Danio rerio: one gene and its partners. Each later gene encodes a partner of the first gene's protein in a complex. Links are inferred from orthologs where the notes say so. Each region holds a gene or a part of one and is shown on either strand. Other genes may lie near its edges.

Region 1 (3,691 bases):
AAACAACGTAACATTAAGTGGTGTCATTTTGCCATAATGTTCTACTGTAGTCGGTGTGACAAGAACATTAAGTTGAGATTATTATGACCTACCTCGAAGAAACCGAGAAAGTATCACACAACTTAGCTTGTTGACTGGTTAGTTTAAATGTTAACATGTACAGGATGACATCATCTGCCACAAATGACTCATAGCTAGTGTATATACACGGCTACGTGAATGATTAAAACCAATAGAAAAAAAACAGTGTAGATGAAAAATAGTAATTTTGAACATATTGTTTAGATTTCTAGTAAAGTGTACACTTATTTTTTTTATATATGTATTCATTATTTTCAATTTTACTTACTGTACTACCGGGACAACGTGCATAAACGCCACTTCCTGTTTGAAATGGAAGCTTGGGTATTGTAGTTTTTCTTCAGTGGAAGGTCCGAATTGTTTCCGCGAATCGATTCTTTTGCACAGTTCAATTTGGGCATATTTTAATTTCAATTTTGCACCTGATTTATGTATATGACATAAAATGACTCAAAAAAACATGGATTATGGTTTCATATGTTGTTGTTGTTAATGAAATATATTTATTGTAATTCAGTGTGTTGCACTGTAATTATGTTTATTCCAGCCAAATTGCATGACACGAACGAAACTTGCATTTAAAATGTACAATACTAAACATTAATTAACTAATTTTGCTGGAATTTTTTGCACATTTCGTTGCTAACTCGACTTCTTGGCCAGTGATTTGTAAATGAATATTCAGGTAAGATCTCATTAAGGCCTGCTCAACTGAATCATCAAAAAGATCCGATTCACCCTGAAGAAGATTCACTCAAGGATCAAGGCTTGCTCGAAGGCATTCGGGGATTACGGAAGAGCTCACGTCAATTACGAATATCAAAATATACCTCGTTCACCATGTAAAAAACACCAGAAGAACATTTTGGTGGATTATTTGGACTGTACCGATGGCTGTTCAGCGTGAGAGACAAGAGCAGCTGTGAGTCACGCACACACACGCGTTGTTGTGATCTAAGCGCGTGACTTTCCCATCACATGACACACAAGACTGAAAAGGACAACATAAACACAATAAAACTATTAATTACGATCGCGTTTCAGGATAAATTTACTAAGCTCTGTATCGATGAGAATAACGACCCATTTATGTTGAATAGTAGTTATACGTTAAATTGTAAGGAAGGCTGATGAACATGCAGAACCTGTAGATGGTTGCCATTGTCAACGCTTTGTAATGTAATGTTCAGTTGTTCATAATTTACTGTAAGTACCAGTCGGCGCTAAAGCTTCACGCAGCTAACACAGGTAAGGAACGTGTGTCTTTTTATTTAGGTTTGTGAATACATAAAAATGAACAAATATATTGTATACCTTTCTACATAACTAAGGCGTTATATTGTATGTTGTAACATACGTATTCTGGATTGTTGTATTTAAATTTGCTGATGACTTCCTTAATTACATTTGTTGAATGTTTTTTTTTTCACTCCTTTAACGAAATCTTAAGATTATGGATAAGAATAGGGTTGTTATATTTTAAATTTATTGAAATATGCTGTATGTAGAGTGATTAAAATCTAAAATCGCAAACTCAAACTGAGTAATAAAACAAACATTAAAATATGCCTATGTTATTATTTTACAACTAGTTAGTTAACTTTATTTTTAACTTTAATTGACAGTATGATGCTGGCTGGATATCTCGCAGTTAAAACTTTATATTCACTTTTTTTTTTATTATTTCATCTTTATTCCTCATAATACGGATTATTTCTCTGTCCATTACACATGTAAACATTATTTTCTACCATGACTTTATATATTTCTCTATTACATTTTTTTTTCAGAATTGATGAGTATTTCACAGCTGTAAAAATATCTCACAATCACAACATTATTTTTCATAAATGAAACTTTATTTCACATAAGCACCATTGTTCTTCTTTGTAAATCTTACATTTGCAAATATATCTCACAATTGTGACTTAATATCTTACAACCACAGCTGTGTGTCTTAGAATTGCAGCTTATTTTGTGTCTCACAGTTGTGAATCTATTTCAAAAAGTGCTAGTGGAAGTCACACAAGGATACTTTTGTATCAAATAGTTTATTAACATTGCAATACTTATAACATGATATATACATCTGTGATATTTCAACAATTGTAATATTTTGCACAGTCCTACAATAATCCCTCCTCAACACTGTGATGTGACTGTTTCAGTTATTGAGGTAGCACACATTTTGATGTCTAATAAATCTAAGGAATATTTAACAATGATGTAATATCTTATAATTATTTTATATCTTACAATTGCATTTTTTTCTCACAGTTTTGTCTTTAAATCTTACAATTTACAACCTTATTTCACAACATAATTCTGCCTTTATTTGTTATAATTGCAATTTTAATTATCATAATTGTGACTGTCTTAAAATTGCAGCTTTATTTATCATATTTACTCTTGTATATTTTACAATTACAAATTAATTTTATAGCAACTAAGACTTTATTTCTCACATTAATTGTGACATTGTTTCTCAATTTTAATTTTACTTGTCGTACTTGCTCTTGTATTTCTCACAATTGGATGCTTCTATTTAATATATCTTACAAGTGAAACTTTATTTCTTATTACTGTGAAGATGTCGAAATGCTATTCGCTTGTTAGGTCTACCGTCAAGCAACACAGCTTTCAGGTCCAAGCACTTTCATCAAATGGTACTAGTAGCAACACACAGAGCACAGTAATATTTTTGAAAGTTATGATAAATATATTTAGATCCATGCCTAATATCAGATGGCTCAGATGAATGTTTTTTTTTTGAAATTGGTAAAATATTGGTGGAAGTCCAGAGAACTTCAGCTTAGTCCTTGAATAATTGAGTCCCTGTAATTGAGTAATTGGTGGTACATTCCGCCGTGGTTCATTCTGACTTTGTAAGAAGCTTACTTTACCATGTGTTATATAAATAAAAAGTGGTCATAAACAAATATTTGCTCAATTCAAATGAGTAGTGACTTGGACCAGGAAACAGTATTCCATACATTATGATTTAACAAGCAGATTATTGTGCGGCTTTAAAAGGACAGTTTACCCAAAAATGACAATTCTGTCATCCTATACTTACTCTTTTCTTGGTTCAAATCATTAAGACTTTCTTTCTTCTGTTGAACAAAAAAGATGATATTTAGAAAAATGTCAAAAACCTGTAACCGTTGACTTTCATAATACTTGTTTTCCTATTATGGAAGCCAAAGGTTACACGTTTTCAGCTTTCTTTATTATATCTACCTTTCTGTTCAACAAAATAAAGAAACTCATGAAGGTTTAGAAGAACCACATGGTGAGTAAATAGTCAGTAAATATTCATTTTTGGATGAATTACCCCTTTAAACCACAAGTGTCGAAGCCAGTTCCTGCAGGGCCGCAGCCCTGCACGGTTTAGTTCCAGCCCTGCTTCAACACACTGAAGCTGCAATCACACTGCACTTTTCTCCCCATAGACTTACATTCATACGCACGCAAATGCGTCAGAATGGAAACGCAAGCTCGTGCGATAAGTTTTGCAGTATGCTGCATTGCAAACTTCAAGTTTGGTGAACTCTGACCTGCAAAATCACATCACGTGATTGCGTGAGACCTCTCCCGCTCTGACCTTTCT
Region 2 (3,761 bases), on another chromosome or scaffold:
GCATATTTATGTAAATACCAAACTACATATTGACTTGGACTTGTACTTATTCATATAGACCATTTCATTGTGGTGATGACATTGGCCTATGCTTGATATCAAAGAAACAATTGAATAATAACTTAATTCTAAAAAAGCTATCATAACATTATTTATCAATAAGCAGGCTCTTTTTAGATTCTCGTAAGCTATAAAAATTAAAAATGTAAAACAGAAAATACGTTGGAACATTTGTTTTTGTTTACATTCCTCAAAATGATCTATCGTCAGAATAAGAAGAGATCAGACAAACATGTTCTTATATTTAAATTATTCAAAATTGATCAGTAGTTTGAAGAATAGTGACAAAGGATATTTAAATGACAATTGTCAATAGGGGCTGCACTGTAATTCATAATATTAATAGTTTGATATGTCTTTAATAGTTTCTTGCAAATATGATTGACAGTTTACTGGTGTATATAAAATATTGTTAAACTAAAAGACATTTAAGTGGGTTTCTTGACAAATTTAGGTAATTATTACTACATAAAAATAATTTATATATAAATGTTTTTTCTAAAATATTTGGCTGATATGATAGATAGATAGATAGATAGATAGATAGATAGATAGATAGATAGATAGATAGATAGATAGATAGATAGATAAACATAAATATTTTTTTAAAAAGCAAGTCTTCATCCATATATTTGTAATGACACATATTTGATAATTAGATTGTAATATATGATGTTGAGTCATTCAGACATTTAGGATCGTGTCACTTACTTGAAGGTCTCCTCTATCTCTGTAACGCTGGTTTCCTTCTCCACCACCAAGAAATTGGGTTTACGGTTTTTATTGAGCTCTCCGATCCCTCCGAGGAGAAATCCGGTGCACGTGTCTTCATCACCGATAACTGCGATTAATTTTCCTCGTCCGGGCATCGTGACTTTGTCTTATATTTTGCTCAAATAAAAGACGCAGAATGGACGAAATGTTTTCCGTTCAGCAGGATCATATGCTTTAATCAGCTGACCACTTCACTTCCGCTTTGCGTAGTCGCGTAAGCGCCTTATTTAGCTGATCTGAGATCTGTGCTGCTCGCGTTAACGACCGACCTGTGTGCGGTGATTATGACAGCGAATCTGATCCTGATACAGATTATTTTTTGTTAAATGCGAGAACAGCGCATAAATCCTAGCAAATTAAATAAAAATCCGCCACGTTTTAGTCATACTAAGATTTTTTATCACATTTTGTACGTTTCCAATGCATATAAACAAAAATAATGTCGAATAAGCAAAACATCTCCTGGAATGACGTTATAAACACGCGACGCTTGATGTCAGTCACGTGAGGCGGGGTGTGAAGGAAAACAGCAGTGTACATTTATCTGCACTGTCTAAAATGGTAAATATAATTCTTACCTTTAAAATATTTGTTTAATTAAATGTTTTTTTTATTAAATGTTTTGTTTTAGTGCATTTAGAACTTATAAAACAAAGATTTTGTAAATAATGTGATTGATGATGCAGTCTAATATCATATGAGCTCTGTTAGTGTTTAATTACAGTATTATCGTGTGTTGAATGTCAGACTACTGCTTTGACTCAAGGCTTGGAGAGAATACCCGATCAACTTGGGTACTTGGTTATTAGTGAAGACGGAGTACTCGCGGTAAGCTGTTAAAATTCATAACTTACATTTTCGGAGAACTTGACATGAGGGTGAAATGCGTTGAAAAGAGAATCCTGATTTGGGCAAATGAGAAATAATTAATTAGAATTCAATGTCTGTCAGTCTTATTGTTCTGTCTGTCTCTGTTTGCCTGTCTACACTTTGAGGCAAAATTATTACGCCTCTACTGATACATATTATTTAAAAAAAAATTCCCAAGTTATGATGAACTGAGCAATGACATTTTCACAGTATTTTCTATAATATTTTTATTCTTGAGAAAATTTTTTATTTCTTTTATTTTGTCTGGAATAAAAGCAGTTTTTAAATAAAAAAATAACAATTTTAATAGGTTAATAGGCCCTTAGAACAAAATAATGGTATTCAATGACTTGCCTAGTTAAACTTATTAACCAAGTTAAGCCTTTAAGTTACTCATTAAGATGAATTCTAATATCTTGTAAAATAACTAGCAAAATATTATGCAGTGTTATCATGGCAAAGACAGATTCTGTTAAAAAATATATATATTACAACTATTATTTTTAAAAATGTGTTGAGAAATCTTCTTCCTTTTGAACAGCCTTCATGAAAATAAATTAAAAAAGGAAAATATTTATTTATTGCCAATAATTGTGCCTTTAACTGTATCTATCTATCTGTCTGTCTGTCTGTCTGTCTGTCTGTTGGACACACCTGGCTCAAGGGGTTATCTCTCTCTCTGTCTCTTTCTATATATTCGATAGGTTCTATGTTTTAATCATATAATCAATTTATCATTTACAGTTGAGTCAGAATTATTAGCCTTGCTGTTTAATTTTAAATCTTTTATATTTTTCCCCAATTTCTGTTTTACAGAGAGATTTTTTTTCAACACTTTTCTAAACATAATAGATTGAATAACTAATGAATTTCTTTTATCTTCGCCATGATGACAGTACATACTATTTTACTACATATTTTTCAGGATAATAGTATTCAGCTTCAAGTTCAATTTAAAGGCTTAATTGGGTTAATTAGGTTAAGGAAGATACTTAGTTTAATTAGTAATTTAATTAACAATAATTTGTTCTGTAGACAAGTTAAAAAAATATATTGCTTGGGGGGGGGGGGGTAATAATAATTGAGTTAAAATGGTATGAAAAGCTGCTTTTATTCTGGCCAAAATAAAACAAATAAGACTTTCTCCAGAGGAAACAATATTATATGAAATAATGTGAAAATGTCCTTGCTCTATTAAACATAATTTGGGAAATATTTAAAAAAGAAAATATCATAGGGGGATTAATAATGACTCCACTTGTCTCAGTTAAGCAGTAAGTGAATGTTTTTTGTAATCTACAGTCGGCAGGAGAGCTGGAGAATGACGAGCACACAGCAGGAGTGATCATGCAGATGGTCCGAACAGCTTGTCGCTTCAGATTACATGGGACTGCAGAGCCCCCATTCAAGCGCATGTCTGGTAAGAAACGCACTTCATTTTTAGATAAATGCTGAATGATGATAGAACAATATTTCACTCATATTTTGTCATTTAATTTTCAAAAAATGTGATGTGAATTATTAAAGTAAACATGCTTGTGTAACATCAGGTTTATGTAATATTCAGATATCACTGTAGTATTAGTGTTTATTTGTAACATTAGGTTTAAGTATTATCCAGATATTTTTACAGTTTGAAATAGTTTTTATCTTTACATTTTGTGTTTTTTCTATTTAAAGTTTAAGCAATTTTGTTATGTATTTCTATCAGTTGTGTTTTTAAATAGGTCTGTTTAAAAAAAAAAAGGTTTTATTAGTTTTTATGGTTTCATGTGTAACCATTTTAAGTCTTTTTTTATCCTCTTGATTTTGTTTAGGAACAAAATAGCCCTAATAAAATAAAATAACCCTCTTTAATTTGTTGTTTTAATTAAATTTATTCAATAAGAAATAATTGATATATGATCATTTACTATTTTACAGTAAATCATTTTTACTTGCTGTGAAAATCCATAACTTCCAAACAAATACTGATATTAATGTATATTTTTTTCTTTCCTTTTTTGTCTGATGTCAGTGATGTTTGAAGACTACGTCTATGCTGTGACCATCTCCGG
Region 3 (3,761 bases), on another chromosome or scaffold:
AAACCCTTAATACTACATATCCCCAAACATTAACATTAGGACATGTCAGATCTGACACATTAGATCCAAATCCAACACAATTTACGACAAATCCCACAGAAACACCAGCTTTAGTTCATTAAAAAAACACACGTTGATGATCAAATATACATAAAAAAAGTAGCGTAACTGGAATAATTTTGACGCAGTTTTGACAAACACTCAGCATTGAGCTGTTCTTGAATCATAAACACACAACTGTATTAAAAATGTGTCGTAAGTAAATGTTGTTGCAGGACTACAGACGCTACATTAAGCTGCATTATTAGTGTTTTGGGTATTTGTCTGTACTGGACAGCATAACACCAACTTTTAGTGCAAACCCTACAATATTTAGACATTTTAATTTAAAACATTTTCACGTTTGGCTTCAGTTTATTATTTAAAACCAACTAAAATCATAACTGCATTAAACTGTATTAAAAGTGTGTCGTAAGTAAATGTTGTTGCAGAACTACAGACGCTACATTAAGCTGCATTATTATTGGTATTTTAAGTTATTTTTCAGCATTGGACAGCATAAAACTAACTTTTAGTGTAAATCCAACAAAATTTGCACATTTTAATTTAAAAACCTTTTCACGATTGGCTTAATTAATTTTTTTTTTTTAGCTCACTAAAATCAGAAATACTCCTCATATTTTCGTACAACTATTATAAAAACTCCCAGGCCTAAAATCCACTAATACAGTGGTTCTCAAACTGTGGTACGTGTACCACTAGCGGTACGCAGGCTTCCTTCTAATGGTACGCAGAGGAATCCTACATGTCACGTACAAGCAACATATATTTCAAAATTTATCAAAAATGGTTTGAATATGAATATGATGACATATAGCCTATTTATGAGGTCCAAGCAACATTTCCAGGTTTTGATAAATAGGACTTTACATTTAAGTACAGCAGTTTTTTTCTATTTAAGGACAGTAACCTACCATTTTTATTAAACCTTTAAAAGCACATTAATTTAAACGTTAACATTAATTTTTTTGTTTGTTTGTTTACATATAAGCAGAGTACAGTCTTAATGTTACTATTTATAATGTTTAAAGTGGCTTATAATAATAAATATCCTTAATAGTAGTAGTTATTTTACCACGTTATTAAACTGTGCAGAGCTGCAGCTGTTTTACTGGGCCTACTACGCTACTGTATTTCAATACCGGTCATTATGGTGGTACTTGGAGGAACAATCTTTTCTGAGGTGGTACTTGATGAAAAAAGTTTGAGAATTACTGCACTAATATATTTAACTATTCCATCATTGTGGAAACCCTAACACTACATTTCCCCAAACATTAGCATTAGCACATGTCAGATCTGACACATTAGATCCAAATCCAACACAAAACTCTCAATTTAAGACTATTTCCACCGAAACACCAGCTTCAGTTCATTACAAACACACGCTTATGATATAATATACATAAATAAAGTAGCGTTAGTGGATTAAGTTTGTTGTAGTTTTGACAAACACTCAGTATTGAGCTGTTCTTGAATCACAAACACACAACTGTATTAAAAGTGTGTCGTAAGTAAATGTTGTTGCAGGACTACAGACACTACATTAAGCTGCATTATTATTGGTATTTTAAGTTATTTTTCAGCATTGGACAGCATAAAACTAACTTTTAGTGTAAATCCAACAAAATTTGCACATTTTAATTTAATAAACCTTTTCACGATTGGCTTAATTTTTTTTCTTTTTCACTCAATAAAATCATAAATACTCCCCATATTTTCGTACAACTGTTATAAAAACTCCCAGGCCTAAAATGCACTAATATATTTAACTTTTCCATCATTGTGGAAACCCTAACACTACATTTCCCCAAACATTAGCATTAGCACATGTCAGATCTGACACATTAGACCCACATCCAACACAAAACTCCCAATTTAAGACTAACTCCACCGAAACACCAGCTTCAGTTCATTACAAACACACGTTAATGATCAAATATACATAAATAAAGTAGCGTTAGTGGATTAAGTTTGTTGTAGTTTTGACAAGCACTCAGTATTGAGCTGTTCTTGAATCACAAACACACAACTGTATTGAAAGTGTGTCGTTAGTAAATGTTGTTGCAGGACTACAGACGCTACATTAAGCTGCATTATTAGTGTTTTGAGTTACCGGATCCGTCGTCTCGCTGTCGCTGCTGAAACAGCACCCCATGATGGCCGCCCAGCGGGTTCAGTATCCTGAATTTGGGTTTTTTATTCGTCTCAGGAGCGTTTTTGAGGTTGTGTTTGCCTCTTGGCTGTGAAGAGATTTGCTGCAAACGCAGAAACCATCACATGACAGCACTCCCAATCGTGTCACGTGTCTTCCGTCTCCACACTGGCACGTCAGTTCCGCCCCAAAAACCCGTTAAAAACCTTCATAGATATATACATTAGATGTCGCCTGGCCTATTGTTGTCTATTGGACGGAATGCGTCAATAGCGCCGCCATCTTGCTACAGGGTAGCGCTCCTTTGAAATGAATGCAGGACCAAGGTACAGTGGAGGACTGTGGCCATCCAAAGCCAGAGATATACACATATATCTATGATCGGGAGTTTTCCTGGATGTTGTATGTAATTTTTTTTTTCTAATTACGAAAATTATAATTTTACATCACATTCCTGACAAAAAGCTTGTGTTTGTGTGTACAGAAATGTACTATCCACCCTCCCTGTTAAATTTGATCTAATCATGTCCTGAAACACAGCTCCTCTCCTGCTTTCACTTCTCATACTGACGGAGCGGGAGCGAGTTGGAGCTGCTTTGCCTTATGGTGAATGCAGTAAGTCACTGTTTTCATCAATAACGTTACCTGATTAGCACAAAAGTTCAGAACATACAAAAACAGAAAAAACTTTTTATTACCTATGGAATGTTCTGCCTTTGTGCTTTGTTTTCTGTTTTGCTCGCTAAAGTCCCGCATCTTCACGTAATAACACTGACTTGACTAGTGCGGTTGAATGACATTTGTACTGGGAGCACTGTACCAATGTGGCGGCGCTATTGACGCATGCTCAGGGTCCCTATGCGATATCTAGTGTGTGTATGTATGTATATATGGAATGTATATATGTATGTATATATATGTATGTATATATATGTATATATATGTATATATATATATGTATGAAAAACCTTTAGGAAACCTTTATGAAAAACCTTTAAGAAACATCATGCTTTTTTTTTTTTTTTTTTTTTGCAATAATAACAGTACTTTACAACAAATACAGATACAAAACTGAAAGTATGGTACAATCAATAGAAATATTACTTTTTGAAAAAGTGGAATGTAACAAATTTAGAACAAATATAATATAGGTAAATCAAAATAAAGACAACGAGAGAGAGAGAGAGAGAGAGAGAGAGAGAGAGAGAGAGAGAGAGAGAGAGAGAAATAATAATAATAATTAAGGGCACATGACAAAGATTAAACAAATTATTGCAGGATATTAAATAAAGCACATATTTTATAAGTTTTAATAGCTTTCTTATTGTGAGAGTCTGTGATGGGTTTTTTTTTAAATAAAGAGCTAGTTCTCGTTTAAAAAAAAAAAAAAAAATAGGCTTACAATGAGTATATTTGCATTTGTGTATAAAAAACTTTCCAATAAATAAAATGTGGTTTATGCAAAAAGTTGAATTAAGGAATTCTTTTCCTTTAATATAAAACCACAAAATAATATGTCTATAGCTTAAAGAAAAATCTCCACAAA

The links.
Region 2: flcn (region 1) and lamtor4 share a complex: the UniProt entries of both Homo sapiens proteins name them as parts of the lysosomal folliculin complex. The link is inferred for Danio rerio from reciprocal best matches to the Homo sapiens genes FLCN and LAMTOR4.
Region 3: flcn (region 1) and lamtor1 share a complex: the UniProt entries of both Homo sapiens proteins name them as parts of the lysosomal folliculin complex. The link is inferred for Danio rerio from reciprocal best matches to the Homo sapiens genes FLCN and LAMTOR1.

What each region holds. Positions count from the first base shown.
Region 1 is NC_133191.1:14,148,606-14,152,296, forward strand, and holds the start of flcn (folliculin), read left to right. Parts: upstream 1-833; 5' UTR 834-1,003; intron 1,004-1,047; exon of another isoform or gene 1,048-1,329; intron 1,330-2,950; exon of another isoform or gene 2,951-3,453; intron 3,454-3,691. UniProt on the Homo sapiens protein: Multi-functional protein, involved in both the cellular response to amino acid availability and in the regulation of glycolysis.
Region 2 is NC_133179.1:20,644,590-20,648,350, forward strand, and holds the start of lamtor4 (ragulator complex protein LAMTOR4), read left to right. Parts: upstream 1-1,332; 5' UTR 1,333-1,392; coding exon 1,393-1,395; intron 1,396-1,545; coding exon of another isoform or gene 1,546-1,581; coding exon 1,582-1,662; intron 1,663-3,006; coding exon 3,007-3,124; intron 3,125-3,721; coding exon 3,722-3,761. Other genes in the region: atp6v1f (V-type proton ATPase subunit F), read right to left, coding at 772-929. UniProt on the Homo sapiens protein: As part of the Ragulator complex it is involved in amino acid sensing and activation of mTORC1, a signaling complex promoting cell growth in response to growth factors, energy levels, and amino acids.
Region 3 is NC_133190.1:46,803,135-46,806,895, forward strand, and holds the start of lamtor1 (ragulator complex protein LAMTOR1), read right to left. Parts: upstream 2,402-3,761; 5' UTR 2,219-2,401; coding exon 2,177-2,218; intron 1-2,176. UniProt on the Homo sapiens protein: Key component of the Ragulator complex, a multiprotein complex involved in amino acid sensing and activation of mTORC1, a signaling complex promoting cell growth in response to growth factors, energy levels, and amino acids.